3 linked regions of the Caenorhabditis elegans genome follow. The protein of the gene in region 1 interacts with the protein of each later gene in a pairwise test. Each region holds a gene or a part of one and is shown on either strand. Other genes may lie near its edges.

Region 1 (7,869 bases):
CGTTTGCAAGTTTCGAGTTTGTGTTATATCCGGTAAGAAATGTAAATCGATAAAATATTTTTCTTTTGCATGACTGTCCACCGATTAGAGTGTATTGAAAAGGCAGCATAGTAATAGCAAAGTTCGGGCTCCTTCATATGTGCTCCTCCTTAGTTCTTAGTATCTTCTTACAATGAACATGTTTCAGGTCCTCCACTCCTACAACTCTGGTTACATATTCTTCACCTCAAGCCGCCCCCTGAACGCTTCAAATGAAGTCATGAAGATCATGCTGGTGCTGTACACCGCCATGTACTCTACCACGATCTCCCTTCTGGCCGTTCAATTTCTCTACCGATACTTTGCGATTTTTCACGAGTACTACCTGAAGTACTTCAAAGGCTGGTACTTCCTAATTTGGATCGTCTACGCTGGATGGTTCGGATGTCAGTATGCGATTGGGTTTCTGGTGTTCAACGCGGTGGATGAGTACTCGGAAGAGTACATGCGACAAGAAATGCATGACGTGTACGGGCTCAATGTAGCGGAAGTTCCATGTGTGATTCATGTGATCCATGTGAGTCATTTTTTAGAACACTTCGTAAATAACTAGTGGTACAAAATAGCTTACTTACACGGCTCTGCGCTTTTTTGATATAAATTTCTGAAATTTCCAGCAATCCATTCCCAACTCAACCCATTCCGTTATTCGCTGGCGAAACGTCTTTTGCACATTCAACGTCACATTCATAATGGTTGTTCAGTACGGAATTATGATATTCTGTGGATATCAGCTGTATAACGAGATGGAGGAGAAACTGAGCATGCTGTCAAAACAGATGAGAAGACTTCATCGACAAATATTCAAGACTCTCATGTTACAGGTAACTTTATTAGAAAATTATAAGAAATCTAGGTATTTAAACTATTAAATCAGATAACCACGCCAACAATTGTCCTGTTCTCTCCCATCGTTTTTGTGATCTACCTTCCGTGGCTCGATTTGGAGCTCAGTGTTCCCACAGGAGTCTTCTTGTCTGGATTCACATTGTATCCAGCGCTTGATGCATTCATCCTGATGTACGTCGTCACAGACTATCGGCGAGCGTTCAAAAGTGAGTGAAAATGGAAAAATTTGTCTAGAAAATATTTTCAGCTGCGTTCCAAATCTACAAACCATCCGGAGCGTCGTCACAGCAATAATTCGTTCAAAAACAAAAGATTGCAGTTTTGTTACGTGATGTGGAATGTGCTCTGAATCATTTGTAGATGTAGTCAGAAAAAAGTAAAACAGAGATTTCTGAACTATTTTGTGCCGAAAGATTTCACGCTTCTAAAATTTACTTGTAGTTTTTAATAAACTTATTTGTAAGAAAATCAGAATGTTTTCCGAACTGCTGTTTGAAAAATTTTGTTCTAATGACGTCCCACAAGAATGATTTCTCAGCACAGCGTTTTGGCAGAAAAGGAAAGTTTGAGGTTCGTACATCGATGTCTGCGCCAGTATTGGTAGGCCTACCTTTGAAGAAACTCATGCCTGTCTCCGGCCGTCTGCAAAAAATTCCATAAACAAGTTAGCAATACAAAACCCAGAAGATGTCGGGTGCTGCGGAACCTAGAAAATGTCGGGTATTGCCTAACCCAAGTAATGTCGGGCCTAGCTGAACCCATGAAGTGCCGGGCGCTGGTGAGCCCAGAAATAATTTCAAATTTTCAGACAATTTGGCGGCAAGCAGGTCTATGTGTACCTGAGCCTGCCTACTAGTTTGCCTGTCGGCCTATCGAAAATTCCAAACTTGTTTGAATTAAAATTTTGAAGCCCGAGTATTGTAAAAAAAAGTAACCATATTGGGGAAACTTTTAAAAAGTTAAATAAGTACGATACTTTTGCTCTCACGACAAACACATCAGCAGGTTGACTCATTAGGCTTTTTTGTATTTTCATCTTGATTCTGGTCTTCCAAGCGTTTTACCAATCCTACATTATTACTCATTTAGACTTTTTGAACCAATCTAAGTCCCGAGCACATTACCTAAATGATTGTTAATCCTATTGCATATCTGCGTAGGGCTCGAAAACAAATACAATTAGTATTCCTTCACACTTTTTCTGATTCAGATACAATCTGCTTTATAAATTATTAACACAATCTGAATATTCACAATTTCAGAAAGAAATTCAGACGGACTATGTATATCCACTGGTCTCACCATTACCTTCCAAAATTGTTTGGAATTTTGTCATTCGTGTGTAATCCAATTTTCATTTGCTTGATAGCCACCGAAAAGAAGGCTTCGATCGGGAAGTATCGATATCTTTTGATAGGGTTTGCAATTTTTGATATGGCTTACTCAACTGTAGAGCTAATCGTTCCCGTAGCAATTCATGGTACTGGGGCAGCTTTTGTGATTTACCTAGCTGACGGACCATTTTTTGGGGTGAGTTTGAAAGCTCTACACACCAAATGATTGAACTTCAGACTGGGAAGCTTGGCCAACTAGCTGTCTCAATTCGATGTGGGTGTATTTCTCTTTCATATGGAATCCTTGTCATTCACTTTATCTATCGGTATCTTGTGCTATTTAAGTGAGTTTTATTTTTATTTTTCACGTAAATCCGAAAATTTAAAAATTATAGCACCCGAATAATCGATCGACTTCTCCGGCCGTCCGGGCTATTTGGTCTCTTTGTATTTTTTGTTTTTCACGGAATAGCTTGGAGTTCTGTCTGCGAGATGTGTCTCTATGGAGATCAAGAAGTGTTCGACTACATCTATGACGCTTTTCAAAAAGATTACCATGTGGATTCACATGATTTATCCATGCTAATGGCATTGTTTTTCGTGAGGCTCGAAAAGAGCAAAGAACCAACACTAACCCCTTAAAATTTTAGGATGCAAGTCCCGAGATCAAAAGAAGAAGCTGGATTGGAATTCTGCTGCTGACTGGAATTTCGATATATGCAATTTCTCTATACGTTATTCTTGGATGGAAGATTATGAAAAAGCTGGCGGATAATCCAGGGGTTTCTGCAACGACTCAGAAATTGCATAGACAGTTATTCAAAGCCCTTGCAGTTCAGGTATACATGTTTTTAAAGAGTTCAGAAAAAAATTGTTTAACTAAACATTTTCAGACTTTCATCCCGATCTGCATCAGCTTCTCCCCTTGCATGATGGCCTGGTACGGTCCTGTAATCGGATTGGATCTCGGAATGTGGAACAATTATTTGGGCGTCATTGCACTGTCAGCGTTCCCTGTTCTAGATCCACTTGCTATCATTTTCCTCCTACCCAACTACCGGAACAAGCTTTTTCGCACTGTGAAAATGCCAATCAAATACTTTTATTCTGGAACATCGACTGTCCGACCCAACGTGGATAATTCAGCTCAAGTTTATTGAAAGTTTGAGGAAAAGTGTTGTCCAAGTTGTTATAAAATTTCTTATTTTTTTCCATAAATATTTTTCGCAACGTTCTTTTTTAATCAATGTGAAAGAGTTTTATTTGCATTTCTCGAAATACATGTTTGCTTTATAGATTTTTTCAATAGCCTGCGGACATTTTCAACGTGTCCCTCTTTTCTTACCAAGTTTGCAGACAGCTTACACTTTCTTCGTTTTTTTTTGGTTTTTAAAAACAAATTATTCTCAATTTAGTACTGTAACTTTTTGAACAACTTAGCACTTTTATAACAATGTCGTTAAGTTTGAGTTGGGATGATAGTTCTAGAAAATTATTTTGTCAAGTTTGGAGAATTCTTGTCGATGGGATTATTTTTGATCAATTACAGGAAAAAACCGTATAGAAATTTAAAATCAACACATAAACCTTACTAATTTACAGTTCACAATCGCGTCACACCCCTAACCCGATTATATTTTCGGTTTTTATTGCCGAAAATACAACAACACATGTATGAATTCGTATAGTTGCCCTCTATTATAATATTTTTGCATTTATGTTTTCCCAAATTCTCAAAAGTTTTATTTTTTCAAATTTACCGGAATCATAAAATTTACGTTTTTCTAATTTGGTTTTTCTAATTTATAGACCACTTCGATGACACTCAAGCTCACATACTTTGACATTCGTGGGCTCGCGGAGCCCATTCGGCTCTTGCTCAATGACCAGGAAATCCCATTTGAAGATAACCGTATCAGCCGAGAAGAGTGGGCCGAAATGAAGTCAACCATGGTGATTCATAATTTTTGAAACTATAAAAGTAGAATTTTCCAGATTTTCGCTCAATTGCCGTGTCTTCATATCGGAACTGAAACGATTGTCCAGTCAGCAGCGATTCTTCGTCATCTTGGACGGATTTATGGTGAGCAATCAGAAAATTTACAGTTTTGAAATAAAAAATTCATTCGAATTGATGAAAAAGAAAAAGCCTGTCAAATTGCTTATTAATTGTTTTGATAAATGTTTTGTTTTGAAAAAATCGTTTTTTTTGAGTGAAAATTTTTTTGATTTTCTCAAAATAAAAATTTTCAAAAAAACTTGCAGAATGTATACATCCGAAATCGTATAAAAATTATCTAAAAGTAGTCTTTTGGAGCAATTCTAAACGTCGTCAAATTAGTCAATAAATTGTTTTAAACTTTTGGCTTTATAGTTAGCTCTTCTAGGCTGACTTAATGCGTTTTTGATTACAATTTTTTTTTGATCTCAAAATATCAGTTGGAGAAAATAACGAAAAATATATTAACAATTGTTTTCCCGGCTGTTGAGTTAACATTTTGCAAATCTTATTTAAAATTCAATACAAAAAGAAAAAAAAACAACATCTAAAATTTCTCAGGACTCAATGGCTCCACTGAATCAGAGACCTCATTCATCGATATGTTCTCCGAAGGGCTCCGCGATCTACGCACCAAATATTTCACAATGATCAAGACAGACTACGAAGATGGCAAAGAAGCATACATAACTGAAACTCTTCCCGGGGAGCTACTACGAATTGAGAAGTTGTTCTGCACATTTAACAACGGCGAAAACTTTGTGTCCGGGGACAAGCTGAGCTATGCAGATTATGCTCTATTCGAGCTTCTCGATATTCACCTCATCCTCACACCAACTGCTCTAAATGGCACCCCAGCACTGAAAAGATTTCATGGACGATTTGCAGAGCGGCCCAATATGAGACTGTATTTGAATAAACGGGCCGAACTAAATCCATTCGTCAGTGGAAATGGGAAACAATAAAACTTTCGGATTTTTTTGTGTTAAATTAATTTTGCAATACTAATAAAACTTGTTTCAAATAACTATTGTTTCAAAAAGCAAAACTCAACTGTGAAACCATTTTCAAAAAATGAGCTATCAAAATTTCGAGTACTTAAAAATTAAATTTTTTTAAAGTTTTTTGAATTAACTTATCAAAGTCTATAGGTTTCACGATAACCTACTGCATATAAAACATTGGGTCCTGACACGAAAAACCAATGTAGTAGGAGTAAAACGTTGTTTGAAAATTAATACAGGTGCTGTTTATGAATCAGACCCTGGAGAATACAGATAACACCCACCTCAAGTCTGCTCAATGACGCTATCACACATGGAGGACTTTTTCGACCCTTTTCAGTGTGTTCCTTTGCAAAAACGGAGTTACCATAGCAGACAAATATTCAAGTCACAAAACACATAGTGCCCCAACCCCAAAGGAGTATACTATTTTACGAGAACTCGGCATTTATAAGAAAAACAAGAGGGGAAAACACTTCTACATCTCTTCATCGAGAAGATCCCATTATTTTTCAATACAACTATGATATATATGAACTGGTACCATCAAAATGTTCCCAAAATTTTGGGAGCACTAAGCTTCCTGGTGAACCCAATATTCATATATTTGGTAGTGACCAAAACTAAAACTCAAGTGGGGAGCTACAAGAATCTTTTGATAATGTTCTCGGTCTTTGACATTCTGTATTCAATATCCGAGATTTTAACTCCATTGGTAATTTACCGTAGGTGTGAATATATTTTAATGAATTTGTCTAGGGTGTACAAGGCAACAAGCATGGATTTGTGGTTTTTATATCAGACGGCTTGTTCTTTGAATATCCAGAACTTGGTCAGCACGCAATGTCGAATCGGTGTGGGTTCATTTCCATCAGTTATGCCTTATTGATCATCCATTTTGTCTATCGGTACATGGCCTTGTTTTAGTGAGTCAACTATTTAGGCCTGAAAATATTTGAACAGTGGCTATTTCAGCCCGCACAAGCTTCATCTGTTCTTCCGGCCGATTGGTATACTATTTTTAACATTGCTCATGTTGTTTCACGCTGGCTCTTGGACTATGGTGAAAGCTTCCAGAAAATAAAATAATTAAATGTAATTGCTTCAGATCTGCCAGAATTGCCTTGCGGCCGACGACGAAGTTAGGAAAATAGTGCGCTCGTCGTTCATAGATCAGTACGGAGAAGAGTCCAATGGAGTTCCAATGTTGGCAGCTCTCTATTGGGTATGTCTAAAACTAGATTAAACTCAGAAATTTAAATTTCCTTTTTAGGGTGTCCGTCCAGGTATCCAATTTCGCAGCTGGCTTGGAATCATTCTTCTTACTATTATTTCATGGTACTCAATGGCGGTTTATTTTGTTCTTGGGTATAAAGTAAGTTTGCGAAGTCTAAGCCTCAGCATAAGCTTAAGCCTGAGATTAAGCATAAGTAAAGCCCAAAGTAAAAAAAGTATTTCAGATAATTCACAAAATTCGGTGCATGACTATTAATCGAACGTTGAGTGCAACTAGTTTACGACTTCAGAGGCAGCTTTTTGTGACTTTGGTTGTACAGGTAATTCTTGTAAGATTTACATGTTTCTGTGCTTAATTCGGTTATATTATTGATCAGACCAAAATTTAAAAAAACGAAAAACAAACCTGATAAAACATATAATGTGCTCTAAACACAGACTGATCAATCTCCTTTGAGTGATTAGGTTACTATCGTCTTTGTCTTGTCAAGGGATTTACCCCTATTTTTACATGTATAAGTTGAGTTTTGAAAAACAGAAACAAACCAATATTTCTTCTAATACTTTGGTGACCCCAAAAATTCTTAAATTGATTTTTGTGATAGCATAGTCTAAACAAAGGTTGAAACATAAAAAACTAAAGTAAATGAAAGCTTCAGGTAAATAGATCAACAATGGGATATTCAAATTACTTATTCATTTCTTCTATATTTCAGACCTGCATCCCAATTGTCGCAAGCTTCTTACCAACTGTCATCTCCTGGTACGCACCAATTTTCGGAATTGACATTGGTTGGTGGAACACAAACGTCTCCACAATTGCACTAGCTGCCTTCCCATGCATTGACCCGCTAGCTGTGATAATTTTGGTTCCGAACTACAGAAACACACTACTCAGACGTCCAATTTCAATTGAGCCGGACACTTCAGGAAATATCAATCCGCCTATCAGCAACGTTGTCAGTATGGTTCGCCGGATAACAACCATAGCTGGCACTGCATTTTGAGTTCATTCTGATCTTGTAGTACTGCAATACAATATTTTGTTATTCTCCCAGTAAACGTGTATGATTTCTATGAATTTTCCTGGAAGATATAAAGTTCGGAATTCAAATCAACTGTTATTAGTTCAAGATGGCAACTGTCTTGATCAAATTAACGAGATTATTGAGGTATTAGTGAACGATCAGTTCAGTTCATTTCACGGTGTTCCTGGTTTTGTAGGTTACGCATCCGGTTTGTGATTTCAGCTGCTCCAATTTTACTGGTTTTAGACCGATCTAATTTCTGAACGGTTTGTTTAAATAGAGGTACCAGTAACATGTTTTGTCAGTTAAACCAGTTAGTCTGTTTTTTTTTATTTTCAACTGGTTCTTCATCAAATTTAATAACTTCTTATTTTTTTTGA
Region 2 (7,397 bases), on another chromosome or scaffold:
TGCACACATTGGTGGTGGAGGTGGAGGACATGGTGGTGGTCCCATTGAACAACATCCTCCGAATGTTGAAGATGCTATAGGGATGATTGAAAAGAGAATTGAAATGGGCAGAAGCATCTGGAAAATAAAAACTTTTGATTAAAAAAAAGAAAATTTTCCGAATTGAGGGATTTTGGATTTAAATATTACCCAGACGCGAAGCTTTGCGCCGAAATTATAGTACCCGGTCTCGGATGCTGTAATTTCAAATTTTCTGCGAAGTTTTCTGAAAAAAAGGTGTGTTTTAATTTTGTAATTCGAAAACAACAATACAAACGCGTACATAAATTATACCAAATATTGATAAAAGCTACGAAAATTCCACTGATATGAAAGTTTGAATTTACGGTACTCTCTAAAGGCGCACACACACACTTTTGCATTTCATAAAAATGTGTCGTGCCGAGACCTTCGCGTCTAGGTAATAAGATCACTTGGTTCCAGAAAACAAGTGGTTTGAAAAATAAAATGAAAAAGGGTTTGTGATCGGCATCTGTCCTCATCTCATCAATAAGATTTTGAATTGAAACAAAGAAAAGAAGATGGCATTTTCTTTTGATCATCATCAATACCTTATATACCTTTTTGCCATTTTGACCCTGACATCTTTTGGCACCGCCTCCATTACCTCATTGCTGTCGAGAATTTGACCCTCTAGAACTGGTTTCACACAGCTTCTCCCTCCTTTTTTGAATTGGATGATGAGTAATCGTGTTACGTCACCTATTAATTATAGGAGACGAGTAGGTGAATCCGATTGCTTTTTCTTTTTCTTTTACGATTTCTGTTGAAGTTAAACTTTTTAATTTTCAGACAATTGAAATTTACTGGAAATTGAGAATCTGAAATGATTTGGAAAATGCTAATCACAAGTGAACTTTCATTGTTCACATTCAAGGTTATCTGACACCTTTGGTAAATTTTGTCGCACATCATTACTTTATTCATTTTCCTATTGAAATTGATGCATACATAAGATCTGGAAACTGGTTGTGGTATGAGTAATCCTTGGAAGCATCTTTACTTTTTATTACCGTATTTCCTCTATTAGTTAGGCACCTCCATTAGTTTTGCATCTAAAATCACTAATCGAAAATTAGTTTTGCATCCTCTATCAGATTCGCACCTCTAATAGTTTTGCTCCCATTCATTTGTTCCCTATTTTTAGGAATTCAAAATTTGCATTACAAAATCGTTCTAAAAATTAGGAAAACTTTTACAGACTTGGTATAATAAGTCAAAATTGGCAAAATATGAGTACAACTCGGACAATGTTTGCGTATGAGTCGTAAAATTCGTCCATTTTGGTTCATAAGTTGTTATTGAAATTGATGATATTATGCCATAATTTAATGGAAAACATGAGAAAAAACCTGTTCAAAAATTAGTTTTGCTCCTCCATTAGTTTTGCATCAAATTAGGTGTCCGAAAATTAGTGTTGCATGCCTTACTTATAGAGGAAATACGGTATCTTATAATTTTTAGAGGTGATTCAAAAAAAACTAAAACGAAAATCTAGAAAACAATACGTATTTTTGGTTAATTTTATGTTGAAAAAATTACAATTTTTAGTCATATATGATTTTTTGGAAAGTTATGACGTCATAACTTTCCAAAAATCGAACTCTTTTGATTTTTCTTCATTTTTTTTGAAATCTAGGAACCGAATTTTGAAATTTAACATTTGATTTTCATGGAACAAACGAAGAATCCTCGGTCTTGAAACGAAACAAACTTTTTTGAAAATTTGCGTGCGCCTTTAAAAAGTACAGTAAGATCTTAATCTCATTTTTCCACGTCTATCCTGATCTGCTTTTATTTCCTCCATTATTTCAACGAAGTCAGAATGAGTCGGAATATAAATGAGAAAAGCTTTTTACTTTTAAAAATCATATTTTGGCATCCACGTTTAGTTTCCTTCTCGACATTGCCAGATTCGAATTAACAAGACTTTAAAACACCACGAACTTTTCAAACTGCTTTTGTACCTATAACTTAAGGCGCTTCTGAAACTGTGCATTATGAGCTCATACTAATCCAGAACGAAACTCTTCTCGATGTATTAAAAATGTTCATGTCATACTGGCCAGCCCATCTCTGATCACTACTACTTCAGCCTTCCCGAGAACATCTCTATTAAAAAGCAATCCTTTGCAGACCGAACTGAAATTCCTTTAGACCCATGGGCTGTCTGTCAGGAACATCTTTAATAATAGAATCACCATTGTATATCCTTCGCCCAACAATAATGCATAAAATCCCTGCAGTTGTAACCTTATTCCAAATGTGCTATTAACAAATTTCTAGTAACAATTCGTTTATGTTTTATGTAACAAAAACAAGAAAACAACCACAAAAGGCATTTACTTGGCCTTCTTGGCACGAATCTTGCGAAGGTAGAAATCAAGTTCCTTTCCTTCGAGGATGTATCCGTTGGCTTGTCCGACTTGTCCTGGGGAAGAAGAGATGCGAGCTGAAAAATAATGATTAAACTTGAAGAAATTTCTGAATTTTCTTACCGAGAAGACGTCCAGTGTTGAATTGCTCGATGAGGAGTGCATCAACAGCAGCAGTCTTTTGACGCTCGGTGTACTTTTTCATGGTGTGGTGGGATCTCTTCTTGTTGAGGATGGCGTTGTCTTCCTCGGAAAGCTTGGCGTTCTTCTTTCTGGCAAGTGGGAGAGCATAGTGAGCCTCATACCACTGACGGAATGGAGCAGCATCAACGCTGATGATGGCTCCTTTGACAAGAGTCTTGGTACGGACCAACTCGTTGTTTGTAGCGTTGTACATGGTATCAACGATACGGGTCTTGCGAGTAGTCTCTGAAAAATCAGAATATGAACGGTTTATAAAGTATAATAACGAAACTTACGCTCAGAGGCCCAGGAGAAGTTTCCGGAGTCGAGGCGAAGAGCTCTGTACTTTTCGTTTCCTCCACGAGTGCGAACGAGACGAACGCGGTGGGCTCCAATCTGAGAGTAATTTCGCGATCATCTTTTTTAAATTTAATTTTACTGATTCAACCAAATCCCTGGTAAATAAAATAAAAATTAAACAGCTCTTACCTTGGTGTTGGCAGCTGGACGTCCGAGCTCGAACTTCCTCTTCTTGTGAGGGACCGGTTGAGTGGCTCCGGTCTTGTAGCGCTTATGCCAAGAGTCGCGCGAGATACCCATGCTGAAAACGTTTCACATTTAACAAAAATGAATTAAAAATACATAATACGATAAATGAAAGAGTTTCCTTCTCGAAACAAAAATATTCGAACATTAAATTTTTCAAAACACAATAAAGTGATTAAAACATTGATTTTCTTCTATTTTTCAGTGATTTTTTCGAGAAAATTTAACAAAAAGCAGAAACATTGAAGAAAAAATAGAAAAAGAAAATCGGGCCTAAAAATTCACAGTGGTAAACAGAGAGCGGCGGCTGCTGCAGATGAGAGATCGCGGCGAGACCCTTCACTCGTGAAATGCCATGTCCCTTTAAAAAAGTGTTTTATTTCACATGATTTTCGTGCTCTTTTTGTTACATTAAAGATTTATAGAAATTCGACAAAAATTATCTGCATTTTTTGTTGAAATTATCAAATTACTTAGTCAATATTTCGCTGTAAAAAAATAAAATTCCAATCATATCTGTTTTTGTGTAGAATTCTTCAATTGATTTGAAAAAAAAACAAAAAAACTTTATAAATAAATGTTTATGATGCAATAAATTTGTCTAGCTAAAATTGCTAGCCGACTCAACTGTCTGACATAACTTTTAACGAAAGTAACTGCGGGGAAAACATTACGACAACAGTATCACAAAAATATGTAAAAAAGAGCTCTCGGACAAATAAAATCGATAAAACAAAAGGAAAATAATTGTACAAAAGCGAATAGTACACGAAGGTCTAAAGAAAACTCTCGAAAAAGCAGGAAAATGAGCCTCTAAAGCGGAATTTTCAGGTTGGTCAGTGAAATCATAAGAAATTAACGAAATCATTATTTTTCAGGTCGAAGCTTCAGAAAGACGATGACTGGAGCTGTGCAAGGAACTTTGGAAGCTGTTGAAGAGAAATGCAGGAGTCTTCAAATGTGGAGGCTGATGCGACGATCTGAAATTTTAAAATTTTACCGTTGTTCTATTAGTTGGTTTTTTTTTAGTTGGTGGGCTTACTTGGGCTCCAAGATATGCTGCGTTATACCGCCATGGACTGATGTTAACTTGAGTGTGAATTGTGTTTGGAACTACTGTAGATAATTCTTGTTCGAGTTTTTCAGCAATTCCTGGCATAAGAGATGCTCCTCCAGCCAAATAAATATTTCTGAAAGCATAATTTTGGTCATAAATTTTAGAAAACTAACGATTCTTACCTATACAGTGTTCGACGACTATCAATTGGACACTGAAGAATTGCCTCGTGGATCAATTGGTGGAGACCTTTCGTGTCAAGACCCCATTTCTTTGGCTTGAATAGTCCTTCCGTACATAAAAATCTGGAGTTATCAATATCGAATCGGGTCTGCATTCCAGGTGATGGTGTGAAAGCATCTAATGAGATTCTAGTTTCTTTATTTTCTGATTTTTCTTCTTTTTGATAATCCTCTGGTACGTAGGTAGTCTAAACTTCAAGTATTTTTTTGAAAATTAATACGATTAAATTTTACCTGTTCCAGTGCAAATCTTAAAATAAGCTTCTCCACAGGACTTTGAAAAGCGTATAATCCTTTGTTATGAGCACTTAATGATGCTCTTAACGAATCTCCCATTTGCTGTGATCCATATGGAATTGAACAAATGGCCGATTCGACGACATATCCATCAATTACTGGAACAATATTAACTCTTTCTCCAATATCGACAACAACTCCAGTTGTAACATCATAAGCATACAGAATCAGTGATGGCTGACGAGTGATTCCTGCCGACTGAAAGTTTATTTTTTAGACAAAAAAGTTTTCTCAGCGATAACTCACTTGAAATTTGATATCTTCAAGACAAATCTGGAGTAATTCTCCAATCAAAACAGTTGGGATATTTTGAGGGATTGAAAGTAAAACTTTATATTTCCATGGCTCAACTTTCAATTCCTTTGTTACTTTTCCAATAACTGCTTTCAGAACATCTTTATCAATTGAATATCTTTCCACTGATGGATCTGTAGCAGAGATTGGTCGAACAAAATCACCATTATGTCTAATTTCCGGCCTATAAGCGTCTTCTCCAACGAAAATCTTTCCATCATCAGTTCGGACGGCTATGGCTGGGAAGAATGATTGTGGAAGTGATGGTTCTGTTGTAAGAACACCGGCTCTGATTGAGCATGAACCAAGTTCAAGAATCAAAATTCTTTCAGTTAAATGTTGGAATGCTCTTGGAATTGGTTTAACATAGGCATCAATTAGAGAAGATGCACAGTGTGATAGGAATGATTGACGCCATTTGTCGAATACTGCTGATGGAACTCTGAAATTTTAATAAATTATTGGAAAAATTAAAAACAATTAGGTTTTTATAAAATGTGAAACTTTTAAGCATAAATTTACCAACCTGCAATAGTATTTAACATGTTCCCTTCCTCCATGAATAGTCAAAGTTCTCTCATCCTTATTGGCATCTACATCTGCTCCAGAGAGCACAAGTTCTTGAGCTGGAGCTTCTCCTGCGTAGTGAGATGCAAAGATTTGAAGACGTCCTTCTTTCATTCGAATGTACTGCTTCATCCATCCTTCATTATCTAGACCGTCTGATTTTGTGACCTCGTCGGCTGGGACCTGGAATGAAATAGCTCAAAATATAGTTTTTTCCAATTTCTCAATCAGTTGAGATTATAATTAAAATTGTTATTTTTTATTATGAATAGAAACTATTTTATATTTTTTGAATAGCTTTTGGACGTAGGAGTTTTGGTTTCTGGAATGTGATCACTGTTTTTGTTTTTTCTAGGCCTGAAAATTTCCAAGCAAAAACTCCGCCCACTACGTTCCCCAACGTGGTGAGCGAAACCCGCCAGATGTCCGTACACGGAGTTCATCACGTTCCAATTTAGAGGTGCACAATCAACTCTGGTTCCTCTGCATTTAACCGTGAAAATCTTTCGCCTTTTACTAAAGATTTCCGTGCAAAGGAGCATTTACTGAGTATTACATACAATTTTTGGAGACTCCTTGAGAAAGCGGGTCAAAATAAACTACAGCAAAGGTAATTTCTTTATTTACGAATGCTTACCTCTACATGTCCTTCCATTGTCACAAATCGATTTCTTTTTGTTTCAACTCGTGGTTCATATGATATTTCGTAGAGGGCTTTTAGTAAATGCTTAGGATCCCATTCTCGCAGAGCATTTGCTTCTTCAGCTTTCAAACTGTCTGATCTTCCAACACCATTTTCCATTTCAACTCCGTTGATTTCCAAATCTGGCATTGAAATATGCTGGAAAAAACGAGAAGTTGGTAGAAAAAATAATATTTCAACTTGAAGCTACATACAATCAAAGCAAATAGAAAAAATAGCATGCATAGGGAAAATTCAATAAAACATGTTTGCCTGGCTATAAAACATTGGAAAATGGAGAGGGCGGGAAAAGGAGAAAATACGAAAAATCGGAAAGAAAGTATCAGTTTTCGAAATCCGAATAAAAAACCACTGAATCGTACTAGTAAAAAAGGGCGTTCTTTTGAAATAAGAAGTTGAGAAATTTAGGGAGAGAGAGCAGAGTTTCCGGTTGCATTTTTTGTTGAAACTTGTCGTCGTTGGTTTTTTGTGTTGGTTTGGTATGTTTGGAGACAACAACGGAACGCAATTTGAGGAGAGGGTGAAAATGGAAATTTGAACGGGAAGTCACATGGATTTTTGAAGAAAATTTGGAGAAACAAAATAACCCTTGGAGCGAAAGTTTTCAGCTACCGTACCTGTGAGGATTTTTCGAAAAATTTTAAAATAGGTGTTTGACAATTTTGTAGTAAGTTGTGGTGAAAATTTTCAAAATCACGACAGTATAATCATAAACTTTTCTATTTGGACGAATACTAATTTTGTAATACTTACGGGTACTGTAGTTGAAAAGTTTGGCTTCCACCAAGACCCGAGGCTGGGGTTCAAAGTTAACTTTGAAGAGAAGTTTTCAATAAAAAGTTACCACTTAAAATAAATATTTTATCAGAAAAATTACGTTAAATTTTGAAACTTTTAAATAAGAAAGTATAATAAAATAAGACAATAACATTTGACTTCAAATTTAATAAAAAAATAATTAAACAAAAACAAGTAGCAATATTCTGCCCTAACTCCTAAAAAAGACCCAAAAAGGGAAAATAATGATTTCTTTTTCGCCTTCTTCCGTCTTTGTTCCGTAATAAGATTATGTG
Region 3 (8,149 bases), 1.9 Mb from region 1:
TTCAGTGGTGGTGTCGTATTGTTGGTACATTGGTTGAGTCTGCTGGGAAGTGCAGGAGTTGTCACAGGCTGGTTGGCAAGCTGGAGCGCAGTTAGCGTTCTGGCTGGTGTTGGTATTGTATGGGTTGTACATTTGGGTGTTGGTGTTCTGGTTCATGTTCTGGTTGTAGACTTGTTGGGTAGCCTGAGCAGTTTGTTGGCAGATATCAGAGCATTGAGTGTTGCAAGCTGGCTCGCACTGGTTGGACTGTTGCTGTTGCTGGACACATGAAGATTGGCATTGTTGCTGGCACTGTGGTTGGCATTGAGCTTGAGCTTGTTGGATCTCGAGTTGGATTTGGATCACTTGTGGTGCCTGGGTGGTAGTGGATGGGGAATCACAGGCAACATTGCATTGTTGTTGGCATTGTGGCTGACATTGAGCTGCTGGTTGTTGTTGTTGAACACAGGTAGATTGACATTGCTGTTGGCATACTGGTTGGCACTGTTGGTATTGGACAACTGGAGCTTGGGTGGTGGTAGTAGTGGTTGGTGGGTTGTACATTGGAGTGCATTGAGCCTGGCACTGTTGCTGACATTGTGGCTGGCACTGGGACACGGATGGAGAAGCCTGGCATTGCTGTTGGCAGCTCTGTTGGCAAGCTGGGGCGCATTGAGTAGATTGAACCTAAAATCATTAATTTAGTAGTGTTTGAAATAAATGCATAAAAGGTACCTGAACTTGTTGAGTTTGTTGTGGCTGAGCGCATGAGCAGGATGGGGATTGTTGTTGAACTGGAGCAGATTGGCACGAGCATGACTGAGTCTGTTGAACTTGTTGGCACGAGCATTGGCTCTGCTGTGGCTGAGCACATCCACACTGTCTCTTTTCACGGATCGCACTTCCAGATACCGCAAGGGCACATGCAAGGAAGGCAATGGCAAGTGAAGTAAAGCGCATTTTAGTAATGATTCGAACCGAGAAAATCGGATGATAATGAAGCTCTGTTCTTCTCTTTTATACTACTTTCCCATACCCCCACCCTCTGTACCAGACCTGAAACTTCTTGATTTCCGCTCTTCCGTTCACTTTTCGTCTATGTGTCTCTCATTCTCTTTCCGGCCAAACTGTTTGCCTTATAAAAAAGTGTTCGTGTAAAAAAAGGTGCGGTGAGCATTAGAATAAACTCTCTAATCAAACAAACGTGTGTCGAGGAAAAAGGTGAAAACTGGTATGTTGCAAATTGGAAACTTTAATTTTGGAATGTGATGTTCCTTGATCTACATTATGTTACGGAATCGTTTATCTGAAGTGAATTTTTAACGCTGTTTTGTTTTCTTAAAGTTTCGGAAATATTTTATTTTAGGTTTTATTCAGCTTGCGGCCTTCCTTCAAATCTATACTGCTATGGAAATTTTGAAATTATTGTATCTTTTTTTATTCTATCGGTGGCGAACTATACCTCTTTTTATTTAAAATTTACAAATGACTGGTTATGAAGTTGAGACAAGTGAGCGTTTAGTTTCTAACTGACAACTTGTTATATCGTGCTGCAATTTGACAGCTTGGGAAGAATGTAGACAACAAATGTGTTATTTGCCAAATTTGAGAAAATACGTGTTCTAGAAAAATAATTTTCGATTTGAAAAATACTTAAATTATTTTGAAATTTTAGTTTCTCATTTTAATTTGGTTGAACATAATTTGTTATCCTCTCTTGTTCTTATTTGTATGCAATTTCTGAAATTTGAAATTTGGAAAGTTTAAACGTAATGCAACTTTAATAAATACGCTATCAAATTATTTCCCGGAAGATTAATATGTTTATCAGGTTGATAGGGCGTTCGATGAATATGACACAAAAAATGTTTAGTTGTATCTGCTAGAAACTGTTTCAGAAGATATTTGTCAGTCTCATTATTTGTTAAACTCGAAATTTCTCTGATTACTGTAGAACCTTTCAACAGTAAACTCGTATAAGCTTGTATGAACGAATTAAACTCGTTTTAAAAATAGTATCGTGAAAGTGTTCACCATATCTCTCCAGCTGATCGGCGTAACTTTTTGATCTATTCGTAATATTTGTTTGCCCCGTCGGCAATTGTGCAAAGATCATTTTCCCACCCGAAAAGAGGCTCTTCACGCTTACGAGCTGTTTCTGCGCCCACTCCAACTGATCAAAACTAGAGAACAATAGATTAATCATCACGTTTTCTGATTTCTGTTTATTCGATTACGTGTAAAGTATGTATATCATTAATTTGAAGAACAAAACATTCGAATTAGATTGGTACAGGTCTATCAACATTTTTTTGTCTATTATTGTATACTGTAGAATAATTGAAAATGATTTATTTATCATATAGTCAAAGAAAAAATGGTGTTCGAAATATACAAAAAAGATTTTGAGCAACAATGGACTATTGATACCCATAAATCTTCGATCGATCGATTCGGTCTTTCTTACTTTCTGCGGCAGCATTGTCCATTTCCGCATGGAGAGTAGTTAGCTTGGCAGGAGCAGGAGCTCTGTTGTGGGCTCTGTTGGCAGGCAGTAGTTGCTGGTTGAGCAGTTTGGCAGGAGTTAGAGCATGATGATTGGCAGGCAGTTTGGCACTGAGCAGCTGGCTGTTGTTGCTGAACACATTGCTGTTGGCAGGACTGTTCGCATTGTGGAGCACATTGGGATGATTGAGCAACAGAAGTCTGGAGAACAATCTGGATGACTTGAGCTGGAGCTTCAGTGGTGGTGTCGTATGGTTGGTACATTGGTTGAGTCTGCTGGGATGTGCAGGAGTTGTCACAAGCTGGTTGGCAAGCTGGAGCGCAGTTGGCAGATCCTTGGTTGTTGTATGGATCGTACATTGGAGCGGCAGTGGTTTGCTGGACTTGGTAAGTTGGCTGGGCTTGTTGGTACACTGGCTGGGCCTGTTGGGATGTGCAGGAGTTGTCGCAGGCTGGTTGGCAAGCTGGAGCGCAGTTAGCGTTCTGGTTGGTGTTGGTATTGTATGGGTTGTACATTTGGGTGTTGGTGTTCTGGTTCATGTTCTGGTTGTAGACTTGTTGGGTAGCCTGAGCAGTTTGTTGGCAGATATCAGAACATTGAGTGTTGCAGGCTGGCTCACATTGGGTCGATGGCTGTTGTTGCTGGACACATGAGGACTGGCATTGTTGCTGGCACTGTGGTTGGCATTGAGCTTGAGCTTGTTGGATCTCAAGTTGAATTTGAATCACTTGTGGGGCCTGGGTGGTGGTGGATGGGGAATCACAGGCAACATTGCATTGTTGTTGGCATTGTGGCTGACATTGAGCTGCTGGTTGTTGTTGTTGAACACAGGTAGATTGACATTGCTGTTGGCATACTGGTTGGCACTGTTGGTATTGGACAACTGGAGCTTGGGTGGTGGTAGTAGTGGTTGGTGGGTTGTACATTGGAGTGCATTGAGCCTGGCACTGTTGCTGACATTGTGGCTGGCACTGGGACACTGATGGAGAAGCCTGGCATTGCTGTTGGCAGCTCTGTTGGCAAGCTGGGGCGCATTGAGTAGATTGAACCTAAAATTTTTGATTTAATGGTTTGCGAATATGTTAATGAACTGTACCTGAACTTGTTGAGTTTGTTGTGGCTGAGCGCATGAGCAGGATGGGGATTGTTGTTGAACTGGAGCAGATTGGCACGAGCATGACTGAGTCTGTTGAACTTGTTGGCACGAGCATTGGCTCTGCTGTGGCTGAGCACATCCACACTGTCTCTTTTCACGGATTACACTTCCAGATACCACAAGGGCACATGCAAGGAAGGCAATGGCAAGTGAAGTAAAGCGCATTTTAGTAATGATTCGAACAGAGGAAATCGGATGGTTAAACTATCTTGCAGACTCACTTTTATATACTGATTTCTAACTCTTTTTCATTTTCCGCCCTCTTTCCGCCGAGCAAACATTCCAAAGCGTTGGTAAAAAACTTCCGTTCAACTGGTGCATGTGCATCGAAACTTTTAAAACACTTGAGTAAACGGAAAATCGTCTGGCATTCGTTTGGAATCTGCCTAGTTTGCGTTAATAATGGCCTCAATACGCGCAAAAGAATTGTGATTCAAATATTAATAACCTGCACAATTTTAGTCGTGATTATTGTGCTTTGAAGTATGCACTGTTCGTCTGTGGGTATATTTTTTAAAGGTAGAGTAGCGCCAGCGAGAAAACTAGAGCACATGTTATTGTAAGGTTACTAGAAGGAAGTGTTTTTTTTTGAAAAAGTATAGACATTGACGTCTCTCAATGTTTTCTTTAATATTAATTAAAATTGTTTTTCATTTTGAAAGTTTTAAAATCAAATTTCTACGTGGCAAAGCGCGTACTCCGATTACCGTATATTTCTGGAAAAAATTCTGAAAATGGTTGTGACAAAAATATACTATTGTAAAATTTAATGGCACACAGTTATCAAATGTATGACAATAACATCAAATAAAATACGCAATAGGATTCAAATATGTGAAAACAAAAAAATCATAACCAAAAACCAACAGCTAATTAGCACTGGTATTTTGCTAATTAGCAATACTCAGCGTAGCTATGTATGACTCAATCTTGTCTCAGTTATTCTGACTGATGTTCGAAAAAAAAGCGACTATTTACTTGTCATATTTCAATTTATTCAATCAAGTGGTCTTACATTTTCAAATTAATATAATTTGTTTGAACCACCTGGCATCGACAACATTTTGAATGAGTTCATATATGAAATGTCATATATGAACATGTCATATATGAAATGTTCAGTCTAAGGCCATGGCTCAACAAGACATGTCGTTTTGTAGTCAAATTGAGGTTTTTTATCCAAATATTCAAACATCAACGGCCCTGTTTCTATGTCGGATTGCTGATGGATTGGGGTTTGTTTTATTCGTTTTTAATATTCATTTGTGTTTTGGAATGTGCCGAAATTACCAAATTTCAAAGAGAAAATTATCATAAAATTTTAACGTTTCGATCGCTGTACAGTTTGGTATATTGAGACTATTTTCTGTCTTTTTCAAAAAAAAACTCACAGATACGATTCCGCCTTTGATTGGTTCAAGATAAAGTTGTAGAGACAAACGTTTTTTTTTTTTTGGAATAACCGGAAAACCCAAAAAAAGGGTGAAATTTAAAAAGATTTATTTCAGAGCTTATTACAACACAGTATTCGAAAATGAATCTCGAGTAGCAGCTGTGAGCTTTTCAATAAACCTATTCCATTTTATAATTCTCACCAGAAAACCGATGATAAACTCATCTGTCAACATCATTATGGCTGCAATTGCATTTTTCGATATTTGCACTTTATTATATGAAATGCAACTAATTGTTCAATCCATTATTTTTCTATACACCCATTGTTTCCAATCAGGCTCATATGCATGGGTTCTTTTTAACTTAGTGCTGGAAGCTCTGAGAGATTATTCACGACGTTGTTCCACTTGGCTCTGCTTATCAATAGCTTTACTTAGAATTCTTGTCATGAAAAATCCTCTTAATCAAAAGTATATGAGGCTGGTTAACCCTATTGGAGCGTTTTATGCAATATCTATAATGGTTTTAGTTAACGTTCCTATCACTGTGTTTAATTTGATGAAATATACAATTAAGGGAATCATACGAAAAAGCTTATGCTTTCCAAATGGAAGAGTAACATATTATATGGATTTTGTCGAAGCGTTTACAAATAATGATGGGGCTCTTCTTAAAGTCGCTACGACAAGCAATGCAATTATGACGAATGTACTAATTTTCTTTTCTTTCTCGAGTTTTTTAAAAGATTACAAATTTTAATTTTCAGATTATTCCATGCTTTGTATATCCTATTTTCACACTTTTTCTTGTGTCAGAACTCAAAAAAGTGAATAAAAATAGACAAAGCCTATCATCTACGAAGAACTCGACCGAATCACAGAAGACAACTCGTTTAGTTCTACTCCTCACGGCAATGTTTTTCATTGCCGAGTTTCCACTTGGCGTGAGCACGTTTCTGACTTATTTGTTTTATGACATTCAAGGAATATTGTAAGTTAAGTCGAAAATTACTATTTTGGTAGTATATCATTTCAGTGTAATTATACGTTTCTGTGAGTTTTTGTTCAGCGTGATTCTCTATGCGAATTTTTCAAGTCATTTTATCATTTGTTTGTTAATGTCCTCTCAATATAGAGAATGCGCTATGAAATTTATTTTTTGTGGATTTTCTCCCAAAAAAGCTTTGACCAGACTGACGACAACTCAGAATAACTCCCGGAGATGGGCTACGGCTACAACAAAACTATCATAATGTATTGGACCGACTGTTCAATAACCCATAAATAAAAAAATCGTAGAAAATTTCTGAAACAATTGTGAAAGTGCACTTACTACCAAATTATTTCAGCGTCTCTGCAAATGTCTATATATTTTATTTTATTCGGCAAAATTGCCGTGCGTAACAAACTTTGAAAATGTGATATTTTTGCTGTGTTTGAAGTTCCAGGTGGTGTGTCTGCTTAAACATAAAAATAACATCAAAAAATTTGTGTTCTTTCACTACATTTTTGGGGACAAAATCAATACTTTTGGTCAAAATTGCATTGTCAAATTTTGGTGTGCGCGGCAAATTTCGAAATTTGCCGAGCTCGGCAAGTTCGGCAAGTTCGGCAAATCGACTTTATCATTTGTTTGTTAATGTCTTCTCAGTATAGAGAATGCGTTATGAATTTGGTTCTTTGTGGATGTTCTCCCAAAAAAACTTTGCCCAGACTGGCTTTAATGCAGAACGACTCTCAAAAATGGGCGACTACAACAAGACTAACGTGATTTGATGGAACGATCCGACTTTTGAATAACCCAAATGTGTAATAAAATTTCTTAAAAAATCCAAGAGGTACGAATATGTATATTTCATGTTTTGTATTCTCTGTCGTCTCTCGAATTTTATTTTTGTGTATAAATGAAATAAAAAAGAGACCAATAGGTTTAGCGCGTGCGAACGACTGGTTTTTTGATGATCAGTCAGAATAAACAAAACAATACCAATTTCAACGGCTAGAAAAATAATTAGGTAAGCGCCACCCTGAAAAAGATCAGAAAAAAACTAGAAAAAGTTTTTCAAGTGTCCAAAGAAAAAACAAAAAATACAAATTCGTTTGGTCTATTTAGCTTGATGTCGAATGGGTTGTAACTCGTTATAAAAACTGACAATGGCATGAAAATGTGTTCACCCACTTCAGTTAACTTTTTATTAATTACGATGTAAATCAAATCAAAAATCAGGATTAATCAATTGAATTTTTTTGCTAACTCAAAGCTTCTTTCTCTTTATTTAAAAAAAAACAGTGTTCTTTTAGATATATAAATATTCATATTAGGTAGCATTTAGTGCACTTGATCAGTTACATTTTTTTCGTCAAGAAACAATATACATATGATATATGTGTCATTCATTTTTCCACGGGCATTGTTGAACTAACGTGCGACAATGGAACAAGTTTCGACGTTTGTCTAGACCGATTTTTTGAGCAGAATGGTCTGAGAATCTGATTCCGAACACCTCTGAAAATGATTTTATGTGATGCAACCGGAAACTTTGATTGGGTTACTTGTTTGTAGAGACAAGAAGGATGAAGTTCAGATGGGAAAATAAAATCCAGACACAGTTAAGTGATGCCAGAGTGTAGTTGGTCATTTTGAACCAGGATTCTGAAATATGATTTAATTATTTTGATTTTGATTTTTATTTTTCCAATTTCCCACAAGCTTTCTGCTTTTAATAGAAAGACTAAAGATCCTTTTTGGCCATTTTCACACACCTGCATTGTGCCAAAATGTGATCAGTAGAGCCATGTACGTCGTGAGAATGGTCGCCTGAACAAGGATTCCTACTTCCGTACGAAAGGATGACGATGAGGATCGAGAGATTCTACGCTTCTGAAACTTCTTTTGAAATTCAGAAAATTATGGTTGAACTCACTTTGTAAATACTATAAATGATGAGAATGTACGAAATGAAGCTCAGTGCAAGCGTTGGAAAACATAAAACCAGCTCAAGACTAGCAAACAAATCCGCATATTTAACTTTCATATCATAGGCCCAATTTGGTCCAGTGAGTTCGAAATTTTGAGTGATACATCCAACAATCCAAACTGTAAATATGTAGATA

Evidence for each region. Proteins that work in one complex are often made in the same cells at the same time.
Region 2: the proteins of gst-23 (region 1) and rps-8 interact in a two-hybrid assay, tested with the Caenorhabditis elegans proteins (one large-scale study listed by BioGRID).
Region 3: the proteins of gst-23 (region 1) and abu-7 interact in a two-hybrid assay, tested with the Caenorhabditis elegans proteins (one large-scale study listed by BioGRID).

The regions. Positions count from the first base shown.
Region 1 is NC_003283.11:3,239,255-3,247,123, forward strand, and holds gst-23 (Glutathione S-transferase), read left to right. Parts: upstream 1-4,029; 5' UTR 4,030-4,040; coding exon 4,041-4,175; intron 4,176-4,217; coding exon 4,218-4,305; intron 4,306-4,782; coding exon 4,783-5,186; 3' UTR 5,187-5,248; downstream 5,249-7,869. Other genes in the region: str-16 (Seven TM Receptor), read left to right, coding at 1-32, 188-556, 657-863, 917-1,094, 1,136-1,182; srj-11 (Serpentine Receptor, class J), read left to right, coding at 2,170-2,418, 2,460-2,566, 2,618-2,822, 2,873-3,061, 3,116-3,382; srj-7 (Serpentine Receptor, class J), read left to right, coding at 5,749-5,940, 5,985-6,151, 6,201-6,288, 6,334-6,450, 6,499-6,600, 6,686-6,781, 7,178-7,468.
Region 2 is NC_003282.8:7,310,642-7,318,038, forward strand, and holds rps-8 (Small ribosomal subunit protein eS8), read right to left. Parts: upstream 3,220-7,397; 5' UTR 3,219-3,219; coding exon 3,108-3,218; intron 3,015-3,107; coding exon 2,915-3,014; intron 2,865-2,914; coding exon 2,559-2,864; intron 2,513-2,558; coding exon 2,403-2,512; 3' UTR 2,317-2,402; downstream 1-2,316. Other genes in the region: grl-4 (Ground-like domain-containing protein), read right to left, coding at 1-117; F42C5.9 (PH domain-containing protein), read right to left, coding at 4,052-4,144, 4,207-4,354, 4,404-4,651, 4,698-4,958, 5,007-5,496, 5,581-5,804, 6,259-6,453. UniProt on the Caenorhabditis elegans protein: Component of the small ribosomal subunit. The ribosome is a large ribonucleoprotein complex responsible for the synthesis of proteins in the cell. Part of the small subunit (SSU) processome, first precursor of the small eukaryotic ribosomal subunit.
Region 3 is NC_003283.11:5,160,954-5,169,102, forward strand, and holds abu-7 (Activated in Blocked Unfolded protein response), read right to left. Parts: upstream 3,830-8,149; 5' UTR 3,807-3,829; coding exon 3,582-3,806; intron 3,535-3,581; coding exon 2,443-3,534; 3' UTR 2,317-2,442; downstream 1-2,316. Other genes in the region: abu-6 (Activated in Blocked Unfolded protein response), read right to left, coding at 1-666, 715-939; srw-140 (G-protein coupled receptors family 1 profile domain-containing protein), read left to right, coding at 4,773-4,876, 5,150-5,744, 5,803-6,026, 6,072-6,288; srt-64 (Serpentine Receptor, class T), read right to left, coding at 7,430-7,541, 7,589-7,688, 7,799-7,916, 7,960-8,149.